Linked DNA regions of Stegostoma tigrinum. Each later gene encodes a partner of the first gene's protein in a complex. Links are inferred from orthologs where the notes say so. Each region holds a gene or a part of one and is shown in the gene's direction. Other genes may lie near its edges.

The links. Proteins that work in one complex are often made in the same cells at the same time.
Region 2: the proteins of syk (region 1) and tyrobp are in contact, whole or in part, in a crystal structure (PDB 7Q5W), measured with the Homo sapiens proteins. The link is inferred for Stegostoma tigrinum from reciprocal best matches to the Homo sapiens genes SYK and TYROBP. Residues at the interface, in NP_001167638.1 of Homo sapiens: Arg22, Arg42, Asn46, His62, His63, Tyr64, Thr65, Ile76, Ala77, Gly78, Gly79, His92, Asp97, Gly98, Leu99, Arg175, Arg195, Arg197, Lys212, Leu214, His215, Tyr216, Arg217, Ile228, Pro229, Glu230, Gly231, Lys232, His243, Lys247; in NP_003323.1 of Homo sapiens: Pro90, Tyr91, Gln92, Glu93, Leu94, Gln95, Arg98, Ser99, Asp100, Val101, Tyr102, Ser103, Asp104, Leu105, Asn106.

What each region holds. Positions count from the first base shown.
Region 1 is NC_081356.1:52,826,649-52,833,554, reverse strand, and holds the start of syk (tyrosine-protein kinase SYK), read left to right. Parts: upstream 1-3,888; 5' UTR 3,889-3,953; intron 3,954-4,691; 5' UTR 4,692-5,076; intron 5,077-6,906. UniProt on the Homo sapiens protein: Non-receptor tyrosine kinase which mediates signal transduction downstream of a variety of transmembrane receptors including classical immunoreceptors like the B-cell receptor (BCR).
Region 2 is NC_081394.1:791,356-798,437, forward strand, and holds the start of tyrobp (TYRO protein tyrosine kinase-binding protein), read left to right. Parts: upstream 1-4,073; 5' UTR 4,074-4,246; coding exon 4,247-4,307; intron 4,308-7,082. UniProt on the Homo sapiens protein: Adapter protein which non-covalently associates with activating receptors found on the surface of a variety of immune cells to mediate signaling and cell activation following ligand binding by the receptors.

The sequences.
Region 1 (6,906 bases):
GAATGGCAAGAAGGTAGCAGATGGAGCATATCTGGGGAAAAGTAACATTATTCATTTTCTTTAGGAAACTGAAAAATTAAAATTGTTTAAATGCTGAGAAATTGCCTGGTGTAAACATTCACATAGACGTGGATGTCCTTGTTTATGAAACACAGAAATGAATCATGCAGCTAAAGTGATTATTTAGGAACTTTGACGACATACTGGACTTTATTGCAAATGGATTAGAGCAAAGAATAAAGATGTCTTGTTGCAATTCTGCAAGGCTTGATGAGACCACACCTGAAGGCTTCTCCTCAGTTTTATTTTTTTGTACCGAAGGAAGGATGTAGTTCTCTTAGAGTAGGTGCAATGATGGTCCACTAGATTGGTTGTTGGTTCAATAAGTTTACTCTCTGAGTGATATTGAGCGCAACAGGCCTACATGCTACATGATTTAGAACAAAGAGAGACAATCACACTGAAACATGAAATTCTGATCAGGCCTGATTAGGTAAATGCTGAAAGATCATTCTCCTGGACTTGAGAACCTAGGCAAGTGGGTATAAACTTAGAATAAGTGGCCAACTACTGATGACTAGAATGAGGATAAATTTATTCATTCCCAAGGCTGTGAAACATTGGAATTCTCTGGCCCAGGGGAATATTCAGTTGTATATATTGCAAACAATAGTTTGTTTTTAATTCTAAGGGAATCTAGGGATATGCAATCACACTGGAAAGCAGATTTGATATTGAACATCATGCCTGATCTTATTGAATTGTACAACAAGATTAAGGGGCTGTTTGGCTCATTATATTTTTATTGCCTTATAAATGCAAACTGTTCATCAAGATTGTGAAACTTCTGACTCTATTCTAGAATTCGTTATAGATATTGCAATATATTTTAAATCCTTCATTCAGGAGCATTTTCATTACATTTTGTTTTAACTTGAAAGGGTTAATTTTAAGACAATTATTGCATTACAATCTGAGAACTCCTGTGAGGAAAATATAATTGGAGTGTGTGTGTCTGTCTGTCTGTTTGTCTGTCTGTCTCTGCCTGCCTGTCTGTATGTATTTTTGGAATTTGAGTTTCAAAAAAGAATGACATGGGTGTTTGCTGCTTCTTTGCTCTTTTTTCCTTTGAAATAAGGTCAGAGTGGCCTAAATCCAATATTTTATGAGAAAGTAGGTGATTGCAGATCCAGTGGTGTCAATAGAAAGATACTTATATTGTTGTGTTTACAACTGCTACAGGAAACATTTAAGGTTATTAGCTTTGTTTTCAGTTTAGAAAATTTCAGGGTTAAGCAGTGTTTTTTTAATATATTCAGTTTAGGAGAATCAGGGTTCAGTTTGGATGCAAGACTTGTTTGTCTTCTAACAGAAGCTCAGGGTCGTTTGAAGAAAACATCACCTCAGAGGAATGTTTTAGTTAGTGCAAGCTTTCAAACCAGATAGGTTGGTCAGGCTTCAGATTTGTAAAAACTTCACGGTGATGGACTTGGAAAAGACTTGCCAAATTATCTCAATAATTCACATGACAGAAAGGGCAAGGAATCATTTGAGTAAATATAGAGTTAAGACATGATGTAATTTCACCAACTTTGAGTGTCTCTGGAATGGATAGTGTAAGGAAACAGAGTGAAACTTTGTCCTGCTGTGTCTTTTATTGTCACTATAAAATGTTTCCATATTTAGATAGCTTTCTTCTTTTATGTGATAAACTTCTGTTCCATTGTTAAAGGAAATATGTTTCAGAGACTAACCATGAAGTTAACTAACTAAACCAAAAAACTAAACATACACCAAATTAGGTTTGATTTCATCCTGGGATCTGGCTTGTTTGACCATCAGCTAGAGTTATAACACAAGACGATGGAGTCTTACTTTACTAGAAAAGGCTCTAGGTGCTAAAGAGCTAGATATGTTGAGGTGTGTGGGGGGCTGTTGTGGTGTAGTGTTAATATTCCAATCTCTGTATCAGGAAGCCTGGCTTTGAGTCCCATCTGCTCCAGAGATGTGCAACTACATCAAAGAACAAGTTGATGAAAAAAACTGTATATTTTCTTCAACAATCCCATCCTTAACTAAAAACTCAGTCGGAAGTCTGTTAAACACAAAATGTCTTGCCCTCATCTACTTAATGCAATGAGCAGCACTATCTCAGGATGAGATTTTCACTCCCATTTAGAAACAATATTTCACCTAAGAGGGCTGCCAATCAGTATAGTTGTCTGGAATCTCAGTACTCCCAATAATGCATCAGGATTTCAAGGCAGGTCCTGGGTGTCAGTGGGGCTTGGCTGGGAGTGATGCTTTGGGGGTTGGGGTGGGTTTCTTCAAGAGGCTTATGTAGAAAAGACATAAAAGCAAGTTATGACTTTTGTCAGGGACAGTTCCATCGGGCACCATTGGCCTTCAAAGAAGTTACTATTTGATATCAGTTTGCCCAGTAAAAGCTGCAAGATTTCCCAGCTAGTGTGGCACTTTCAGCAGCAGTAGTGAAATAAAGCACTTATAGACCTAAAGTCCTACCACTGCATCTCAAGTTTGGTAGGCTGCCTGACACTTTACCCACCCAATATTAAATAGAAGACAGGTTGAAGGTGGATGTCAATGCATATGCTATGAGTTCTTCACCTTGAGGATAGGAAACCAAGGATCTGTTGAATAGAGTAGTGCAGAGGAGGGCAGTCCAATTTCCCTAGGACCAGTGGAAGTAACCACTACCCTAAACCTTGACAATCTACAACGTTGCCACCAGGGTCAATAAGGTCCCAGCCTTCTGAAGGAGTGTTCAGTACCATATGAAGAAGGTCAATGGCCTGCTTCACTCTGCCAACATAAATGCCATTATCTTCTCTTGGTTACTGCACACATTTCCAACCATGGCTCACACTCTACCACTCTTACTATTGCCTATAATATCTTCTCTCACTTGCTAACACACATCACCACTCCTCACACCACTAAACTTGCATGCCTCTGTTTGGGTAGGCAATGGCCTAATGGTATTATTACTGGACTGTTAATCCAGAGATCCAGATAACATTCTGAGGACTCAGATTCGAATCCCAGCACTGCAGAAGGTGGAATTTGAATTCAATAAATATCTGGAATTAAAAATCTAATGATGACTGTGAATCCATTGTCAATTGACAGGGAAAAATTCACCTGGTCCACTAATGTCCTTTAGGGAAGGAGACTGTCATCCTTATCCTACATGTGACTCTTGACCTACAGCAATGTTGTTGACTCTTAACTGCCCTCTAGGCAATTAGGAATGGGCAATAAATGCTGCCTAGACAGTGACATCCTCATCCTGTGAATGAATGAAGAAGAAAGCCTACCCCTCACTCAAGAGACAGTGCCAGCTTTCCCCACTTGCAGCAGTAATAGCTCCGACACCCCCTTTCATCTCACTTAATATGAGTGGCCATGTCCATATGACAGGATCTTGAGCCTAACCTGTCCCAGCAGTCCCACATGTTCCAGAGATGTTCACTAATATTTCCAACAGATTGATTAGAAAATAGTTCCAAATTGATTAGGTTATGATAGTAGTAGAGAGGATTGAGTGTTACTGGGAACTGGAGTCTGCAGATTTTGCAAATTTTGAGGATTGCATTTGACAGCACTCGATGAAAGTCTTTGGCTTGGTAGGGTCTAAAAGAATAGAGTTTGGCATGTTTTTAATTTAAATTCCCATTCTTCAGTTATCAATGCACAGGTCTGCCAATCCGTACAACGTGGCAACATTAGACTGCGATTGGTAATGGGAAAGCAAACTGCTCGCGCTTCTTTCTTAATCAGAACATCATTGCGTAGGTACAGGTCCGGGACGGAGCGAATTCTGTCGTCAGGAGTTTAATCCCGCCCCAAATTCGAACGCATGCGCAAAATAGTTCGGTTTTCATGGCTGCAATGATTCCTGTACTTGGGTAATCAACCCGGAAAGGCAAGCGGTAGTGGTTATTGACTCCATTGCACATAACTGAACATTTTGTCATTTTCTAATGTTGAGGAGGTTATTTAAATTGATATGTTCAAGAGCTATGTGCAACGCATTCACAGTGCGCACTCGATACACGACTTGGTGTAGTTTTGAGATATTTTACAGATTGGGCCTCAGGTTAACATTTGATCTGAAAGACACCAACTCTCGTAATGCAATACAGGTTCTAACTGCCGGCACATACAGTTTGCTCGAATTCCAAACTGGGATTTAACCTGGATGTCACCAACTTAATCATAGTTGTTATTATTTTAATGGTTCAGATCAATTTAAAATATTATCTATCGACAAAATTTGACAGAGACAATACAAATGTGACTCTATGAGTATCACTTAGATCCTGAAAAGCCGTCTTAACGCTGTTGCAAAAATCGTATTTTGCTAATGGATGCTATCATTCTCGCAGTGAGCAATTAAAAATTGTTTGCTAATTTAAAGAATCAAAAACACTTGAAGCCCGAAAACATAAATCTCTTACAACATAACACTGTTTCTTTGGGATACATCTTCACAGGCTGTCGTGAACATGCCCTGTTAATGAAATGTATTTGCGAAAATAGTGTTTTTTTAATTCAGTAACTATTTGGATTAAATTCCAATTATGTGTTTTGAAAGAAACGAAACTAACCTATCGGAGTAATTGTAAACGTTGTAATTGTAAATTTTATGCCACAATTTGTCTTATCAGTTGCTGATTCCATGAAAGGAGGAAGTTTTTTGGAATGAAGTGACTCGAGGAAGTAAGAATGGGGATTGGACTCGAGATGGAAAGAGGAAGTAACTGCCTACAGCTCATTCTCTCAACCAGCATCGAGTGTCCAAAGCAATTAAAATTTTCAACATGCGTTTGCGGATCTGAAATAGTGTGGGCTATTTTTCTTTTAAAACACACTGTCTGGGGTATTGCTGATCGTGCGGTGCTGTTTCTCCAGTGCCCTTTTTATGTTAAGATACGCATAGTTGTTCTGTATTTTAATTCGCATCAAAAACGGACCCGTCATTAATTAACTTTTAAAATAATCAGTTCAGCCTGTGACAGTGACAAGTGAATTCAAGGAAACAAGGCCGCACAGGTAAGGACTTTTTGGAATACTGGGAAATGTGAATTTTAATATGTGGACTTCCTTGAAGTATGTTTTCGCCGCACCGTATATTAGTAATTTAACTTAGGAAGCAAATTATTTTTCGACAATAAAAACGTGTTTCCCTCTATTCAACAAGGGTTCATATTCTTTCCTTTCTCGTTTTTAACATTGGATTTCGTTTCGTGAGCACTTCAGCATGCATTCGTCCAGAATTGTGCACATAGTGTTTTGGCAAGTACCATTTTGCTCCAGGCACTTCTGCAACGGTAGGAAATAGGGAAGTTGGCTTTTTACAAATGCTTATCTCGGATATTGTTTGCATGGTTCAAATTAACTTGCATTTTTTGATCACAAATAAATTCTGAAGTTATTTGTGAACCAGTGGACGGATAATTTCATTTACTGGCCGAGCGGTTTTTGATCCCGTGATCAGGAAACGTTGCCAATTCAACGAGGACAAAAACTTGACTACATATATAAAGTTTAAGAAGATTGAGCGCAGTCTGGAAGTGACACTAGATGAGTCAGTTTGGAGTCAGTACAATCTTATCATTGTGTCACGCTTGTTAAATACGTATATTTTTATCTTCTCACAACCTCTTTAGCATTACAATACATTTACAATCTTGCTGTTGTCTTCATTTTATTTTATGAAGTGTTGAAAATTTAAAACTAGATAAACTGAAAAAAAATCAGCCAGTCTTTGTGCAGTTGTATATATTTCTATATGTTACGGATCCTCAGTCAAACACGAGCTGAACGCTCCACAGTCGAACTGTGACTTTTTAGGCTCCCCCGATCTGTTTTCCTCCGGCCGCTGCTTCAAATTGATTTTTTACGCAACCGTTAATCTCATTTCATGGGCGTCTTTATGAATAGGAATATAAATCTGCGGGAACCTAGGGCGAGGGAATTTTAGGCGCATCGGTATCGCTAGTTGCTCTTCTTCCATTTCAACTTGTTTTAATGAGTGAACTTCTTGTCGCGTCTTCATATTTAGTTGAGGGCGGAAAAATTCAGTATATAGAATATGCGAAACACAAACAAAACGAAATGTTGCGGATGCTGGAAATGTTCAGCAGATCTAAGCAGCATGTTTAAACAGTTACTTTTGAGACATACGACCTTTCATCGGAGCTTGTTGCTTCAGATGCAAAAATACAATCATTTAAACGGAACTATTTTAAAAGACTGCTTATTCTGATAGCGCAGACGTACCTAGTGTTAAAGCAATTACACTTTATTTCTTTGTATAATATTGAAATTTTCTTTTGTCTCACTGTGGGTTTTGCAAATATTTTGCAACCAGAAACGAACCAAAATGGGAACGAAATTGATGCTTGCAGCTAGGTTGCCGCGGCGTCGACGTTAACTGCCATCTTCTGTTATGTGTAGTTCAACCAGTTTTCAGGCTGTTCACCCTTACTGCCACAATCGTCATGTTCTCTCAGCACCATGAACACAGCATTAATCCGAAAACACTACCTGCAAAAGCCCTTCTTGGCTACTTTATATGATGCTGCCGAAGTCTTTACTTGACCCACCGATGTCCTAGTTCCTAATCATGTCCTTTCTCGTTACTCCACACATCAATCTTGCTCTTTGCATCTCATGAGTATCCAGTTGTTAGTGTCTTATTGACATTGCCCCTATTTCTGTGCTTTATAACAGAGCTGGTCATACAACTGTCTTGCAGATTCTTTCTTTCAGTTTCAGTGACAGTTGTGTATCAATTAACAATATCATTAGAATCCCCACAGTGCGGAAACAGGCCCTTCGGGCCAACAAATCCACATCAACCGTCAGGGAATCCCACCC
Region 2 (7,082 bases), on another chromosome or scaffold:
GAGAGAGAGAGAGAGACAGAGAGTGGGGGAGAGAGAGAGAGAGAAACAGACGGCGAGAGATGAGAGAGAGATAACAGAGAGGAAGAGTAAGAACGAGAGAAAAAGAAAGAGAGACTCAGAGAGATGGAATGAGGCAGAGCGGAGAGAGTGAGAGTCCTAAAATCTCTATTCATTTCCATTCTAAAGCTGAAAAGCACCTGCCAGCATCACAAAGATGTTATACCCACTTGAGACTGTCAATCAAACTGTGAGGTGACAGGCAACCAGCTGTGATAATGATAGTTTGTGCCCCACCACTAATGTAATACAATTCCAGACATATCCCTGAACACAGGCTGGGTGACAGGAGACACTAAGCTTGTTTGAAATTGCTGACCATAATGAGCAGGAACCTGATTGCAACAGCTGATCGGTTGCACGAGGGATCGCTGATGCCCTTCACACAGCCTCTTTTTCCCAAAGACAGTTGGCAGCTAACATTCCCCAAAACACGGCAGCAGAGCTTTCCAAAAGGTTTCCCTACCTCTGCAGAGTGTTCTGGAGAGTCCACCCACTCTCCTGCCTGTAACCAGGGATGTGGCGCAGCCAGTTAGGAGAAGCCTGTCATGCTAAGTGTGCTTCAGTGAGGTGTTTGATAAGGTCCCACATGGTGATCTGGTGAATAAGGCCAGATCACATGGGATCCAGGGAGAGCTAGCCGACTGGATACAGAATGGGCTTGAAGGTCGGAGACAGAGGGAGGCGGGGTGAGGGTTGTGTTTCAGACTGGAGGCCTGTGAGCAGTGGAGTTTAATTGAGATAAATGTGAGGCGCTGCATTTTGGAAAGGCACATCAGGTCTTCCCTGGACTGATCTATCCCCTCCCTACCTCCCCACCTATACTCTCCTCTCCACCTATCTTCTTTTCTCTCCATCTTCGGTCCGCCTCCCCATCTCTCCCTATTTATTCCAGTTCCCTCTCCCCAACCCCGTCTCTGATGAAGGGTCTAGGCCCGAAACGTCAGCTTTTGTGCTCCTGAGATGCTGCTTAGCCTGCTGTGTTCATCCAGCCTCACATTTTATTATCAGGGCAGGACTTATACACTTCATGGTAAGGTCCTGGGGAGTGTTACTGAACAAAGAGACCTTGGGGGGGCAGGAATATAGTTCCTTGAAAGTGGAGTCGCAGGTAGACAGGGCGGTGAGGAAGGTGTTCGGTACGCTTGCCTTTATTGGTCAGTGTGTTGAGTATAGGGAGTTGGGACGGTCATGTTGGGGCTGTACAGGACATTGGTTAGGGCCACTTTTGGAATACTGTGTCCAATCCCGGTCTCCCTGCTACAGGAAGGTTGGTGTGAAACTTGAAAGGGCTCAGAAAAGATTTACAGGGATGTTGCCAGGGTCGGAGGGTTTGAGCTACAGGGAGGGGCTGGATAGGCTGGGGCTATTTTCCCTGGAGCGTCGGGGGCTGAGGAGTGACCATATAGAGGTTTATAAAACCATGAGGGGCATGGATAGGGAGAATAGACAAGGTCTTTCCCCCCAGGGTGGGGGAGTCCAAAACTAGAGGGGCATAGGTTTAAGGTGAGAGGGGAAAGATTTAAAAGGGACCTAAGGGGTAACTTTTTCACACAGAGGGTGGTGCGTATATGGAATGAGCTGCCAGAGGAAGTGGTGGGGGCTGGTACAGTTACAGCATTTAAAAGGCATCTGGATGGGGACATGGATAGGAAGGGGTTAGAGGGATATGGGCCAAATGCTGGGGAATGGGAACGGATTAATTTGGAATATCTGGTCAGCACGGACGAGTTGTACCGAGGAGTGTTCCTGTGCACTGCATAACACTCTGACGCTATGAGATGAGCAATGAATCTGGTTAAATGTAGGTGAGTCGTGTGATGTGAAACATCACCCCTTCCCCCGTCTAGGAACCGCTGATGTGGAAAGTACACAGTGATCCCTTCTCCACACACCTTTGGGTTGGTTTATCTGAAGAGACAGTTCCGAACACAACAAATATTCAGGCTCTTGCCCTTTGGTCACGAGGTATCCTGCTGTGACCATGTCACAGTGTCTCAGTGTTTCTGAGACTTTAATTTTCTTTATTCATTCACAGGATGAGGGCGTCGCTGGTCGGGCAGCATTTACTGCCCGTCCCTAATTGCCCAGGGGGCAGCTCAGAGTGAACCACATTGCTGTGGGGCTGGAGTCACATGCAGGCCCAGACCAGATTAAGGACGGCAGTTACCTTCCCTACAGGGCATTAGTGAACCAGGTGGGTTTTTCCTGACAATCGACACTGGATTCATGCTCATCATTAGATTCTTAATTCCAGATATTTATTTAATTCAAATTCCACCACCTGCCTGGGCAGGATTCGAAATCGGGTCTTGGGACGTGTGTGTGTGTGTGTGTGTGTGTGTGTGTGTGTGTGTGTGTGTGTGTGTGTGTGTGTCTGTGTGTGAGGCAGAGTGTGTGTGTGTGTGTGTGTGTGTGTGTGTGTGTGTGTGTGTGTGTGTGAGGCAGAGTGTGTGTGTGTGCGCGCGCACGCGTGTGTGTGTGTGTGAGGCAGAGTGTGTGTGTGTGTGTGTGTGTGTGTGAGGCAGAGTGTGTGTGTGTGTGTGTGTGTGCGTACGTGGGTGTGTGTGTGTGTGTGAGCGTGTGTGTGTGAGAGGGAGAGTGTGTGTGTGTGAGTGTGTGTGTGTGAGTGTGTGTGAGAGAGTGTGTGTGAGAGTGTGTGCGTGAGAGTGTGTGTGTGTGTGTGAGTGTATGTGTGAGTGAGTGTGTGTGTGTGAGAGAGTGTGTGTGAGAGTGTGTGCGTGAGTGTGTGTGTGTCCGTGTGTGTGTGTGAGAGTGTATGTGTGAGTGAGTGTGTGTGTGTGTGTGTGTGTGTGTGTGTGTGTGTGTGTGTGTGTGTGTGTGTGAGTGTGTGTGTGTGTGTGTGTGTGTGTGTGTGTGTGAGAGAGTGTGTGTGAGAGTGTGTGCGTGAGTGTGTGTGTGTCTGTGTGTGTATGTGAGTGTATGTGTGAGTGAGTGTGTGTGTGTGTGTGAGTGTGTGTGAGTGTGTGAGAGAGTGTGTGTGAGAGTGTGTGCGTGAGTGTGTGTGTGTCCGTGTGTGTGTGAGAGAGTGTATGTGTGAGTGAGTGTGTGTGTGAGTGTGTGTGTGTGTGTGTGTGTGTGTGTGAGAGTGTATGTGTGAGTGAGTGTGAGTGTGTGTGTGAGTGAGTGTGTGTGAGCGTGTGTCTGTGTGTGTGTGTGAGAGTGTATGTGTGAGTGAGTGTGAGTGTGTGTGTGTCTGTGTGTGAGCGTGTGTCTGTGTGAGTGTGTGTATCTAACTCTGTGTTAGTCAGCGTCTAGCTCTGAGTCCGTGTGGCACCCTCTCCCACACAGATATCACACTTGTCTTGCTCTTCTGGGGCAAGTTTGAAACCATCCCTTGGCCTGCAGGAGCAGATATGACCCCCTCCCTCCCTCGCCCTGCAGGAGCAGATATGACCCCCCTCCCTCCCTCGCCCTGCAGGAGCAGATATGACCCCCCTCCCTCCCTCGCCCTGCAGGAGCAGATATGACCCCCCCTCCCTCCCTCGCCCTGCAGGTGCAGATATGACCCCCTCCCTCCCTCGCCCTGCAGGAGCAGATATGACCCCCCTCCCTCCCTCGCCCTGCAGGAGCAGATATGACCCCCCGCCCTCCCTCGCCCTGCAGGAGCAGATATGACCCCCCGCCCTCCCTCGCCCTGCAGGAGCAGATATGACCCCCGCCCTCCCTCGCCCTGCAGGAGCAGATATGACCCCCCTCCCTCCCTCGCCCTGCAGGAGCAGATATGACCCCCCGCCCTCCCTCGCCCTGCAGGAGCAGATATGACCCCCCGCCCTCCCTCGCCCTGCAGGAGCAGATCTGACCCCCCGCCCTCCCTCGCCCTGCGGGAGCAGATCTGACCCCCCGCCCTCCCTCGCCCTGCGGGAGCAGATCTGACCCCCCGCCCTCCCTCGCCCTGCGGGAGCAGACATGGCCCCCTCCCCCGCCACGTCGCTGCCTGGGTGTGGGGATGAATTGGGTTCTCTCTGAGCTGACCACAGAGCACTTTGACGGAAGAAGAGATTGCTTGGTCAGAGGCTTGTTATAACGGCACGCCACTTCCTCATGCACATCGAGCCGGCCTGCTCCAGGGTTGCACCGATAGCAGCTCCCCTCGCGCCCGGCGATCCCACTCAGTGCCCGCATCGCGCCAGGCTCCAACCAGATCCAGGTCCGTTCCTCCAGCCGGATGGCAAACAGCCGGATTCACACACTCCGCACTGCCACCCTCCTCCTCGCCACCATCTTCGGTAAGTCCTTCATTATCTACGTAACTCCCTCCCTCACCCACCTCTATCACCGTAACTCCCTCCCTCACCCACCTCTATCACCGTAACTCCCTCTCTCACCCTCCTCTATCATCGTAACTCCCTCCCGCACCTTCCTCTATCACCGTAACTCCCTACCGCACCCTCGTCTATCACAGTAACTCCCTCCCTCACACTCCTCTATCACCGTAACTCCCTCCCTCACCCTCCTCTATCATCGTAACTCCCTCCCGCACCTTCCTCTATCATCGTAACTCCCTCCCCGCACCCTCCTCTATCATCGTAACTCCCTCCCAAACTCTCCTCTATCATCGTAACTCCCTCCCTCACCCTCCTCTATCATCATAACTCCCTCCCTCACCCTCCTCTATCACCGTAACTCCCTCCCTCACCCTCCTCTATCACCGTAACTCCCTCCCTCACCCTCCTCTATCATCATAACTCCCTCCCTCACCCTCCTCGATCACTGTAACTCCCTCCCTCACCCTCCTCTATCATCGTAACTCCCTCCCGCACCCTCCTCTATCATCATAACTCCCTCCCGCACCCTCCTCGATCACCGTAACTCCCTCCCGCACCCTCCTCGATCACTGTAACTCCCTCCCTCACCCTCCTCTTCAACGTAACTCCATCTCTCACCCTTCATTATCTCCGTAACTCCCTCCCTCACCCTCGCCTTCACCATAACTCCCTCCCGCACCCTCCTCGATCACTGTAACTCCCTCCCTCTCCCTCCTCTATCACTGTAACTCCCTCAATCACCCTCGTCTATCACCGTAACTCGCTCCCTCACCCTCCTCTATCACCGTAACGCCCTCCCTCACCCTCCTCTTCACCGTAACTCCCTCCCTCACCCTCCTCTTCACCGTAACTCCCTCCCTCACCCTCCTCTATCACCGTACCTCCCTCCCTCACCCTCGTCTATCACTGTAACTCCCTCCCTTACCCTCCTCTATCATCGTAAATCTCTCCCGCACCCTCCTCTAACACCGTAACTCCCTCCCTCACCGTCCTCTATCATCGTAACTCCCTCCCGCACCCTCCTCTATCACTGTAACTCCCTCCCGCACCCCTCAATATTGCCAAATCTCATTCTCTCCCTCGCAACTCTCTCATTGTATCCCCCTCCATCCACTACACCCTCCCTATCTCTGTAACCCCCTCCATCCCCTACACCCTCCCTATCTCTGTAACCCCCTCCAGCCCCTACACCCCCTCCCTATCTCTGTAACCCCCTCCATCCCCTACACCCTCCCTATCTCTGTAACCCCCTCCAGCCCCTACACCCCCTCCCTATCTCTGTAACCCCCCCCAGCCCCTACACCCCCTCCCTATCTCTCTAACCCCCTCCAGCCCCTACACCCCCTCCCTATCTCTGTAACCTCCTCCAGTCCCTACACCCCCTCCCTATCTCTGTAACCCCCCCCAGCCCCTACACCCCCTCCCTATCTCTGTAACCCCCCCCAGCCCCTACCCCCTCCCCCACCGTCTCTGCTTCTCCGGCGACTTTCTGTTTTGTTCCTGATTTGCAGCTTCTGCAGTTCTTTCGGTTTTTATTTAATTTGCCAGTTTCCTCACGCAACAGGAATTAGTGACCCCCTCGGGGTTTTCCCCGGGAACGGACGGTGCTCACTGTTAGACGTGCTTTATATTCTGTATTTAATTGAATTCTTATTGGGGAGGGGGATTTGAACTCATGCCCAGCACCTGGGCCCGGGGTGGGGTCAGGGACCACAGTCCAGGGGCATTAGAATGAGCTGCAGTCTGCCCCTGGGTGGGGCACGTAACCATTGTTAGGCCAAAGCCGGTAGGAAGAGTCAAAGTATACAATGGTCTCATCTGCATTCAGCACAGGATAGCACTCAAGGGGGGCAGAACGCCCTTCTGTTCCTGGGTAACAGGCTGGAAGAAGGGGGCTGAATGGCCTCCTTTTCCTGGGGAACGGGCTGGAGGAAGGAGCTGAATGGCCTCCCATCCCTGTGTAACAGGCTGGAGGAAGGGGGCTGAATGGCCTCCCGTCCCTGTGTAACAGGCTGGAGGAAGGGGGCTGAATGGCCTCCCGTCCTTGGGGAACGGGCTCGGAGAGGAAGCGGGAGGAGGGAGGTGCTGAATGAGCGGGTGTTTGCTATAGATTAAGGTCCCGAGCACCTCAAGGCGCTGTCCCGGCAGAGCCAGCCCTCAGATGAGAGGAGGAATGGCTGCCTGGTGTCACTAGCCCTGAGGGACAGGACGCTCCCTGTTCCTGAAAACACCCACAAATGAAGGAATTCCCCGGCGGAAAGTCGCCAGGAAGTGCCCTGCGTGGTGCCACAGCTGCAGGAAAGCACCTTGTTCAGACATGCCAGTGGGCGGCAACACCAATACAGTCGGTTGTTGTTGAGTTTGCAGCAGGGATGGCGCTTTTCTTGAAGCGAGTCTCCTGCAGCCCATCAGCGCATTGAGGTGGGGGAGGGTGAGGGTGGCGGGGGGATGGCAGGGAAGGTTGGTTACGGTGTCAGACCCCGGGAGATCCCCGAACATCCCTCACCCCCTCCAGCCCCTACACCCCCTCCCTATCTCTGTAACCCCCTCCAGCCCCTACACCCCCTCCCTATCTCTGTAACCCCCTCCAGCCCCTACACCCCCTCCCTGTCTCTGTAACCCCCTCCAGCCCCTACACCCCCTCCCTATCTCTGTAACCCCCTCCAGCCCCTACACCCCCTCCCTATCCCTGTAACCCCCTCCCTATCTCTGTAACCCCCTCCAGCCCCTACACCC